2 linked regions of the Rhinolophus ferrumequinum genome follow. Each later gene encodes a partner of the first gene's protein in a complex. Links are inferred from orthologs where the notes say so. Each region holds a gene or a part of one and is shown on either strand. Other genes may lie near its edges.

What was found.
Region 2: the proteins of CSF1R (region 1) and CSF1 are in contact, whole or in part, in a crystal structure (PDB 3EJJ), measured with the Mus musculus proteins. The link is inferred for Rhinolophus ferrumequinum from reciprocal best matches to the Homo sapiens genes CSF1R and CSF1. Residues at the interface, in NP_001032948.2 of Mus musculus: Arg142, Arg146, Leu149, Arg150, Lys151, Lys168, Val169, Leu170, Ser172, Asn173, Val231, Gly232, Phe233, Leu248, Ser250, Asp251, Phe252, Asp254, Asn255, Tyr257, Lys259; in NP_001107002.1 of Mus musculus: His38, His41, Met42, Gly44, Asn45, Gly46, His47, Phe87, Gln90, Asp91, Asp94, Arg98, Asp101, Glu110, Arg111, Gln113, Glu114, Leu115, Asn117.

Annotation. Positions count from the first base shown.
Region 1 is NC_046307.1:22,342,618-22,346,361, forward strand, and holds the start of CSF1R (macrophage colony-stimulating factor 1 receptor), read right to left. Parts: upstream 2,903-3,744; coding exon 2,854-2,902; intron 1-2,853. UniProt on the Homo sapiens protein: Tyrosine-protein kinase that acts as a cell-surface receptor for CSF1 and IL34 and plays an essential role in the regulation of survival, proliferation and differentiation of hematopoietic precursor cells, especially mononuclear phagocytes, such as macrophages and monocytes.
Region 2 is NC_046305.1:41,945,173-41,948,916, forward strand, and holds the start of CSF1 (macrophage colony-stimulating factor 1), read left to right. Parts: upstream 1-895; 5' UTR 896-1,097; coding exon 1,098-1,136; intron 1,137-3,744. UniProt on the Homo sapiens protein: Cytokine that plays an essential role in the regulation of survival, proliferation and differentiation of hematopoietic precursor cells, especially mononuclear phagocytes, such as macrophages and monocytes.

The DNA.
Region 1 (3,744 bases):
AGGAGTAGATTCCTTCAGCCTCCTGAAGTGGGCTGAATCCTTAGTGCTCAGCCCAGGGCCTGGATCAAAGCAGGGGCCTCAAACAAGCAAAGGAAGAGACAGAGGGAGTGTTTATGGCAAAGTCATCCAGCTTAATTTATTTGGGGGAGAGGAACAGAGGCATAGGACCTTGGCCCAGCAGAATTAGAAAGGTTCCAGTTCCCTGGTGTGTCTGCTCCCACTGTTGGATGTCTGGTCTGTAGCACAGTAGGATAGTTCAGAGGCTCTGTGCCTCAGTTTCCCCACCTATAAAATGGGGACAATAATTGTACCCATTTATTGAGATGTCAGGAGGTTTAAACGCATGGAAAGCCTTTAGAACATCACCTGCCACCACACGAACACTCAGTAAGAGTTAGCCATTATGTTTATTATCTAGTCTACCTCAGCAGCCCAGCCCTACACCCCAGCACTGCTGTGTTGACTGGAGAGCCAATCTCTTTTAAGGAAAATTTTCTTGAAGGAGAAAAGAGAACTTGAAACCCATATCAGGGCCTCTGGGATGAAAGCCCGTTGCCTCTGCAGTGTCAGCATTTTTTCCAGGGCCTAAAATAAGGGCAAAGGAGGGAAGTGAGAGCTGATTCAAGACCTTGAAGGGGCGGCCAGGCGCCCTGGCCAGCGCAGGCGGAAACACATTGCTGGCGCCTGGCCTGGCCCCCGGTTTCCGCTCTGCCTGCGGCCCTTCTCCCTGGGATGTTCTCACTTCTGCTTCCTGGGCCTCCTGGCCACTGTCCCCTCTCCAGGAGAGAGACTCCCAGGAAAGACAATGCCACCTGCTGGGCATCAGAACTCCCTGGGCTTCGGGGCCTGGCCCTGCCACTGACCCACTATGTGCCCCTGGTGAGTGCAATCCCTTGGCTGTGACGATGGGAACATGGACACTCCAGCCTGGAGGGCATCCAATGAATTCAGGGCTTCTCCAAGGTCCTGCACACAGCTCCTTAAATGAATTTATCTGCCCTCACCCCCACCATAGACCCAAATCACAAAGAGCTTCTCTGTCAATTGATTTCGGGAGGGCTTAATTTATGTTTTTATTTTCTACCCATCGTGCAGCCTCTCTAACCTGAGCTTCTAATCAACGTAAAGGATTGAGTGAATTGGTGGATACCACCAAGGTCAACACCTGGGGCGTATAGCCATCCTGTGCCATGTGACAACCAGGGAAGGGGGCAGCATGATTTCTGGCAGGCTGTCTGCAAATCCCAACAGAGCTGGTGCTGCCCTGTTACGGCTGCAGCACTGCAGGCCCCAGACTCGGGGGTTGTTGCAGGGAAGAGCTTGGGCTGTGGGGTCACACCAATGTGAATCTGAAACTTGGTTCTTCCTTACCGGCTGGGTAGTGCCTTCACCTCTCTGACCTTCGGGCCAGTGGAATAATCTGCGTTCCCACCTCTGAGAGATCCTGGGAGGATTCAGTGAGGGGGTACAGAGCTCCTCGCTCATCAGCTGCTCCTGCCCTACGCTGCTGCTTCAATTGCAGCATTTCTCACCTTCCTTCTGGTCCTGACATTCTGATATCTAAAGTTTTTAACTTTTAAAGGTCTGAGTCTGTGACTGTGACATCCCAGGGTCTCGGGTTCTGCGTTCCGCTTCTGCACCCGACTCACAGGCGCCTCTCCCTCCCCTTCCCCTGCCCAGTCACCCTGGCCCCTGCCCCGGCCTCCTGGAAATATGGTCAGAAAGAGGCATTTGTCCTGTTTTGTCCTGTCCTGTTGTCCCGGATATTCATGCAGGACAGGGCTGACCCCCTCAACGTCCGCCTCCAATTTCCCTTGTGCTGGCTTGGCTGGCCCTGTCCTCCCCGGGGTGGGGGCTCAGACGTGATGCACACTGACCAAGCCCCACTTTGCACCTGTGCAGTCTTCATTCTTTCATCTCAGCCCCCCAATTCTCTCCATGCCCCAAACCTCCCCCCACCTCACTTACCCAACAGACCCCTCCATCATCAGCCCCAGGATGTCCCTGAACCTCCGCTCCTCTCTCCCTACACACACACACACACACACACACACACACACACACACACACACACACACACACACCCCAGGGTCTGGGACACAGCCCCTCCTCAGCCCAGGATCTTTGCGAGTCTCTCCCCATCAGGGGTGCTCTGACCTCATCCCCCAACTCCCTCACAGCAGCCCACCCTATCCCCGCTCACTCACTCATCCCTCCTTCTCACCCCTTACCCAGGCCTCCCGCGGGAAGGAAGACCACAGCCGCTTTGGGCTTTCCCAAATAAGGTACTGCCTAGAATCAGTGAGTCACAGGCCAGCAGAGCTGGCAGCGCCCTTAGGGACTCTCTAGGGCCTCCCTACTCAGTGTAGGTCTGCACCAGCAGCCCTGGTGTCTCCCAGGAGCTTGTTAAAAACGCAGAAGCTCAGGTAGAACCTGAAACCTACTGAGTCAGAATCTGCATTTTAACCAGATCCCCAGGTAATTTGCATGCCCGGTAAAATGTGAAAAACTGTGTTTTAGTCTAGTCATCACCACTCCCAATGCCTGTTGTTGAATAGATGTGGACACTGAAGCCCTGAGAGCATTGGGGATGGTTCAGGACACACAGGGAGTCAACATCTGAGCTGGGACTGATCCACAGCCCTGGCTGGGCTGCTTCCATCCCACCCACACTGTCTTTGCCCTCTACTGCCTTTTTAGAGCAGATAGCCACAAACCTGCTATCCAGGCGGAGATGGAAGCCCCGAGTGCATATACCCAGTGAGGGGAAAGGATTTACAGAGTCCTTACACAGGGGCCCTCTCTGTCACATTTCCCCCCACCTCCGCCCAGGGCCCTCAGTTCTGCTCTTACCATGCCAAGCTGTGGCCACCAGCAGGACCAGCAGAGCCCCAGGGCCCATGGCCTCAGTGGGGAGGCAGCAGGCCAATGCAGGGCTGGAGGGTGGGCAGGCACTGGACTCCCAGCTGCTAGCTCCGCAGGGACCAGGAACGCTGGCTGGACACGTTCCTCTCCACTGCACCAACTATTTGTCTTGTTTCCCTCTTCTTCCTCCTCCTCCTCCTTGGGCCGATCCCCTTCTTCCCCTTTTACTAGGCAAAGCAACCACAGAGTTTGGAAATCTTGGGTCTTTAGAAGAAAACAAAGCCATGAACCCCAGAGGGGAGGGGTTGGGAGTCTAGGTTCAGGGCCATCCTGAGCCTGGGGGATCTGGAGAAGTTTGGGGCCCTTATGAAGCCATCTTTAAAGGCCCCTGGCAGAAGAGACACACCCAATGTCAAGCAGTCAGTCAGTCGGTCAGTCAGTCAGTCAGTCAGTCAGTAGGGTCTCCAGAGTGGCCAGGTGGCTCTGCTCTAACTAAACCAAAAGGGAAATTAGGTTGGTCTGGGAAAGCCTGGGAATAGCAGCAAGAAACTTGCATTTACAGGATACTCACCGGCCAAGCCCTTGTCATTCATGAACTACCTTGGTCCCCACAAAAAGTTTACGTGGTAGTTACTGTTATCCTTCCCATTTCACAGATGGGAAAACTGAGGTTCAGAGAGATCAAACACTTAAATTTGTCCACGATTCCATAGCTTCCAAATGGTAGAGGTGAGATTTGGATCCAGGCAGCCTGGCTATAGAACTGCCTTTTTGTGGATTTATTAAATTACTTATTTATTTATTTTAACAGTGCCTAATGGTGCTAGCATATTTCTTAAGAAAAAAAATAGCATTCCTCTGCCCCCTCCTTTCCTAGAG
Region 2 (3,744 bases), on another chromosome or scaffold:
AAGAAAGAAAAAGCTCCTGAAGTTGGCTTTATATTAACAGGTTCATCTTATTAGGCCTCCGTTACAGTCATTCTATGTAGAGACAAAACGTGATCAATCTTCTCAGTAAATGCATTTCCAAAAGCTCCAAGGGAAATCTAGGGGCCAGGGGCCAATCGCCCTATGTTTTAGCGATCAGCAGGGAGCAAGGGTACCAGCCAGCATTTACATCACCCGCAGGTCAAGTGCCCAGAGTGCCCCTGGCACACAGCAGAGCCTCCCAGCCCCCTAGCCCAGGACACAATCCTTCCCCTCCTGGTCAGGTAGCTAGCCTCCCTGCCTGGACCATGCCCCAAGAATTGGAGACAAGACCCTAGGAGGGCTGCTTGGGGGCTCCTCGGAAGGAGGGGACTGCCTGCAAACCCGCTGACTCAGGCTCCACCAGGTGCGGCTTCGTGCACAGCCGGGGAGGCTCCAGTCTTCAGTGTTTGTCCCTGTTCTCAGCCCATTTCCTGGTCAGATTTGGGAATTTTCAGGCCTAGAGGGAAAGTCCCTTGAGAGGAATGTTAGAAAGAGGGAGAGAGCACCGGATCCGCCTGGAAAGCCCAGAAGGAAAGGAAAGGAAGGGAAAGGCTCGGTGCCGCAGCGCGCTCGCGGAGGGGCGCGAGGCGGTGGAGCCCGCGTTACTTTGCCGAAGGCTTTGGAGTTGAGCACAGAAGAAAAGGCCACTGGAAGACTGGCGGGGAAGCCCAGCCCAAGGGTGGGGGCGGGGAGGCGGCTCAGTGGGCCTCTCGAGTGTGTCTGTGTCTGTGTCAGTGCGCGCGCGCGCGCGCGCGTGTGTGTGTGTGCGCGCGTGTGTGTGTCTGGCGCCTGTCCAAGGTGATTTCCCATAAACCACATGCCCCCAAACTCCCTTTAAAAGGCTGTGCCGAGGAGCTGGCCGGTGGAGCCGGCTGCGGAAAGTGAAAGTCAGCCTGGTGCTCTCCACGCCGCCGCCGGCCCTCCGCACTCCCAGGACAGCGGTGCGGCCCTCGGCGGGGCGCGGACTCGGCGGCGGCCAGCGAGCCAGCGAGTGAGCGAGGGCGGCCGACGCGCCGGGCCGGGACCCAGCTGCCCGTATGACCGCGCGGGGCGCCGCCGGGCGCTGCCCTCCCACGGTAAGCTGCGGCCACGGCGGCGGCGCGGGGTCGGGCTGGGACGCGAGCTCGGCGGCGGGCGCAGCCCCTCGAAGCCAACTGCGTCGGCACGCAGGCTGCCGAGGCTCTCCAGCCGCGGCCGCGGGTTCCGGCTGCCAGCCCATCTTTGCGTGCGCTCGGACTGCCGGCGCGGCGGGGTTGCACTCGGGCTGACACCGGAGGCGGCCCTGCAGCTGCTCCGGGGGCTGCGGCGCTTCCCTGGGAAAGGGAAGGCTGCTCACCCCATTGCACGGAGGGGTACACTGAGCCACTCGCTGGCGAGAGAGAGAGAGGTGTTTGCAGCCACGGGCAGGGGCTCCATGTCCTAGGGGGCCCCTGCCTCTGTCCCTTCTGACGGGCTATCGCTACGGGACAGGCGGGGTGGCTGTGTGCTGAGTGTAGCACCTTCCCCAGTGGGTACCTTCCTCGTCCGCCATGCACATGCTTCCAGACTCTGCTGGGGAGTGGGCGCTTCTGGATGGAGAAAGTTCAGGGTCATCCACTTATGGAATGCCAGGGCTTGTGCCCAGGAACTGCTGGCAGAAGTAAGGAGCTGGGCAAGCCTCTACATGTTACAGCTCATAATCAGGAACTGTTGGGGACTTGGGTGGCTGGATCAATTCTGTTTTGGGGGACCAGACTCCAGAGTTGCCTGGGGCTAGCTCTGAATCTTTTTCTTGCAAACTCGGGTGCAGTCCGTTGGAGAGATCCTGGGCTTGGTGATGGTAGAGGAAGGTAGAAGGAGGGTTTGGTGCTGGGGAGCTGTGGACAGGGGCTGGGGCCGCTCAGGACGGCTCCGGCAAAGTCCTGCCCCCACCGAGGGCAGTGCCTGCTGCAGCTCCTAGAAAGTACATGGCTGCACCGGTTCATGAACAGTAGGTGTCTCCCGATGGGTTTGCTTCTGCGGAACCCTGGAGGAGAATGGCAGGAGAAATATGGGGGCAGAGAAGCAGAAAAATGTTTGGAGGGTCAGGGAGGGAGTTGCAGGTTGTGGGAGAGGGAGAGCAGAGCTGAGAGAGGAAGCCCGGGAGGGCAAGGTGAGAAGCAGCAGGACAAAATAAGGAGCTGGAGGTGAGACCATGTGGAAAGTGAAAAAGAACAGAAAAGGGGGGTAGTTTTAGACAGGACAGCCCAAGGACGCATGGTGCCAAGGTCTCTCCAGGGACCTTACTGATGGGGAAGATGGAACAGACTGGGGACAGGTGAGGATGGACAGCTAGGCTGAGACGTCTCAGCATCTCTCTGAGCCTGCAACAGACTCCTTCCTGGCTGCCCCAGACGCCAAGGCTGGTGTGGGTGGGAGGAAGAAAGAAGCGGGAGAAGAGGCAGCCCAGCCAGATACAAGCTAGAATGTTAACTCTTTGGTGCCAGTCCAGATCCTCCTCTGAGACAAAATTGGGACCCAGGTGCAGGGGTGGCCCCCTTTGGCACCCATAAAGTAGGTCTCCCTCATGGGGGCTGCACTCCTCCCACACTAAAGCCTGAAACAGCTCCAAAACCAGTCTGCCCTTGGGGTTAAGCATTGCCCTCCCTTTGCTGTCCCCAAACATCACTATCTTGAAGTGCTGTGGCAAGGATGTCTTCCTGAGCTTCCCGTCCCCATGGCCCTTTCCTCCGTACCAGTTACACCAGGCGCAGAGCCTCGGTGACAGCCAGCCTGGAGCAGACATACCTTCTGCATGTTCCCGTTTCCTCTACTGGGCCCTGAACCAGAGGTTCCTGAGGACCTGGGCAGTCATTCCCACCCAGGGCTACCTCCTCAACTGCCCAACACAGCCCAAAGGTGCCCCCGTGACAGTCCTCCCCCTTCTACACTCTCCCTTCCCTAGGTCAGGCCAGGAGCCTCACCCATGCCAGTGCTGAATGGCAATGGGCCATCCTGTGCCTCTTCGCTCCCGGCCTCACCCTCCCTCTCTCTGCCACCAACATCTCCGCATCTTTCAAGGTCTCACTAAGGTCCCTCCTCTCTGCAGCCTCCCTGGTAGCCCGGCCAGGGTCTCTTCTCCCTGGTAAGAGCTGGCAAACATTTGGGCTTTTAGTTATATGTACATCAGCAGGTTGTTGTGGGCTGTGTCACAGCCTCCCCGTGTTTTTCCAATGTGCCATTTATTTGCAGTATGTGTCCTATCATCTGGATTACCAAGGCAGAGCCTAGAGCTCAGGAAGGTGCCAGCCCTCACCCCACCCTGACAGCATTTCCCGGGATCTGGGGGCATCAGCTGCCAGGAGGCGACCTCCAGCTGGGGAAAGAAAGCCCAAGGGTTTTTCTCTACCTCTGGTTGGAGAAGGGGAGACTTAGGGCCAGGGAGAGGGCTAAGGGGTGAGGAGGAGGGAGAGAGGAAGGAAGGGGAATGACAGGGTGTCAGAGCCAGTCCTGTCACTCAGGGGGAGCAGCTTCTGGGCCAGGTGGGTGCTGAAAGAGGGGAGAGATCTCAGGAAATGTCCTGGCCATGTAAAGAGTTAGCTGGCTGGATGCAAAGCCTGATGGGGCTCTGATGGCAGGTGCCAGCCGGGGATGGCCTGGAGCTGGTACTGCTGCCTGCCTCTGATCAATTGGTTGGGCTGCTTTTGATACACACAGTCAGGGCTC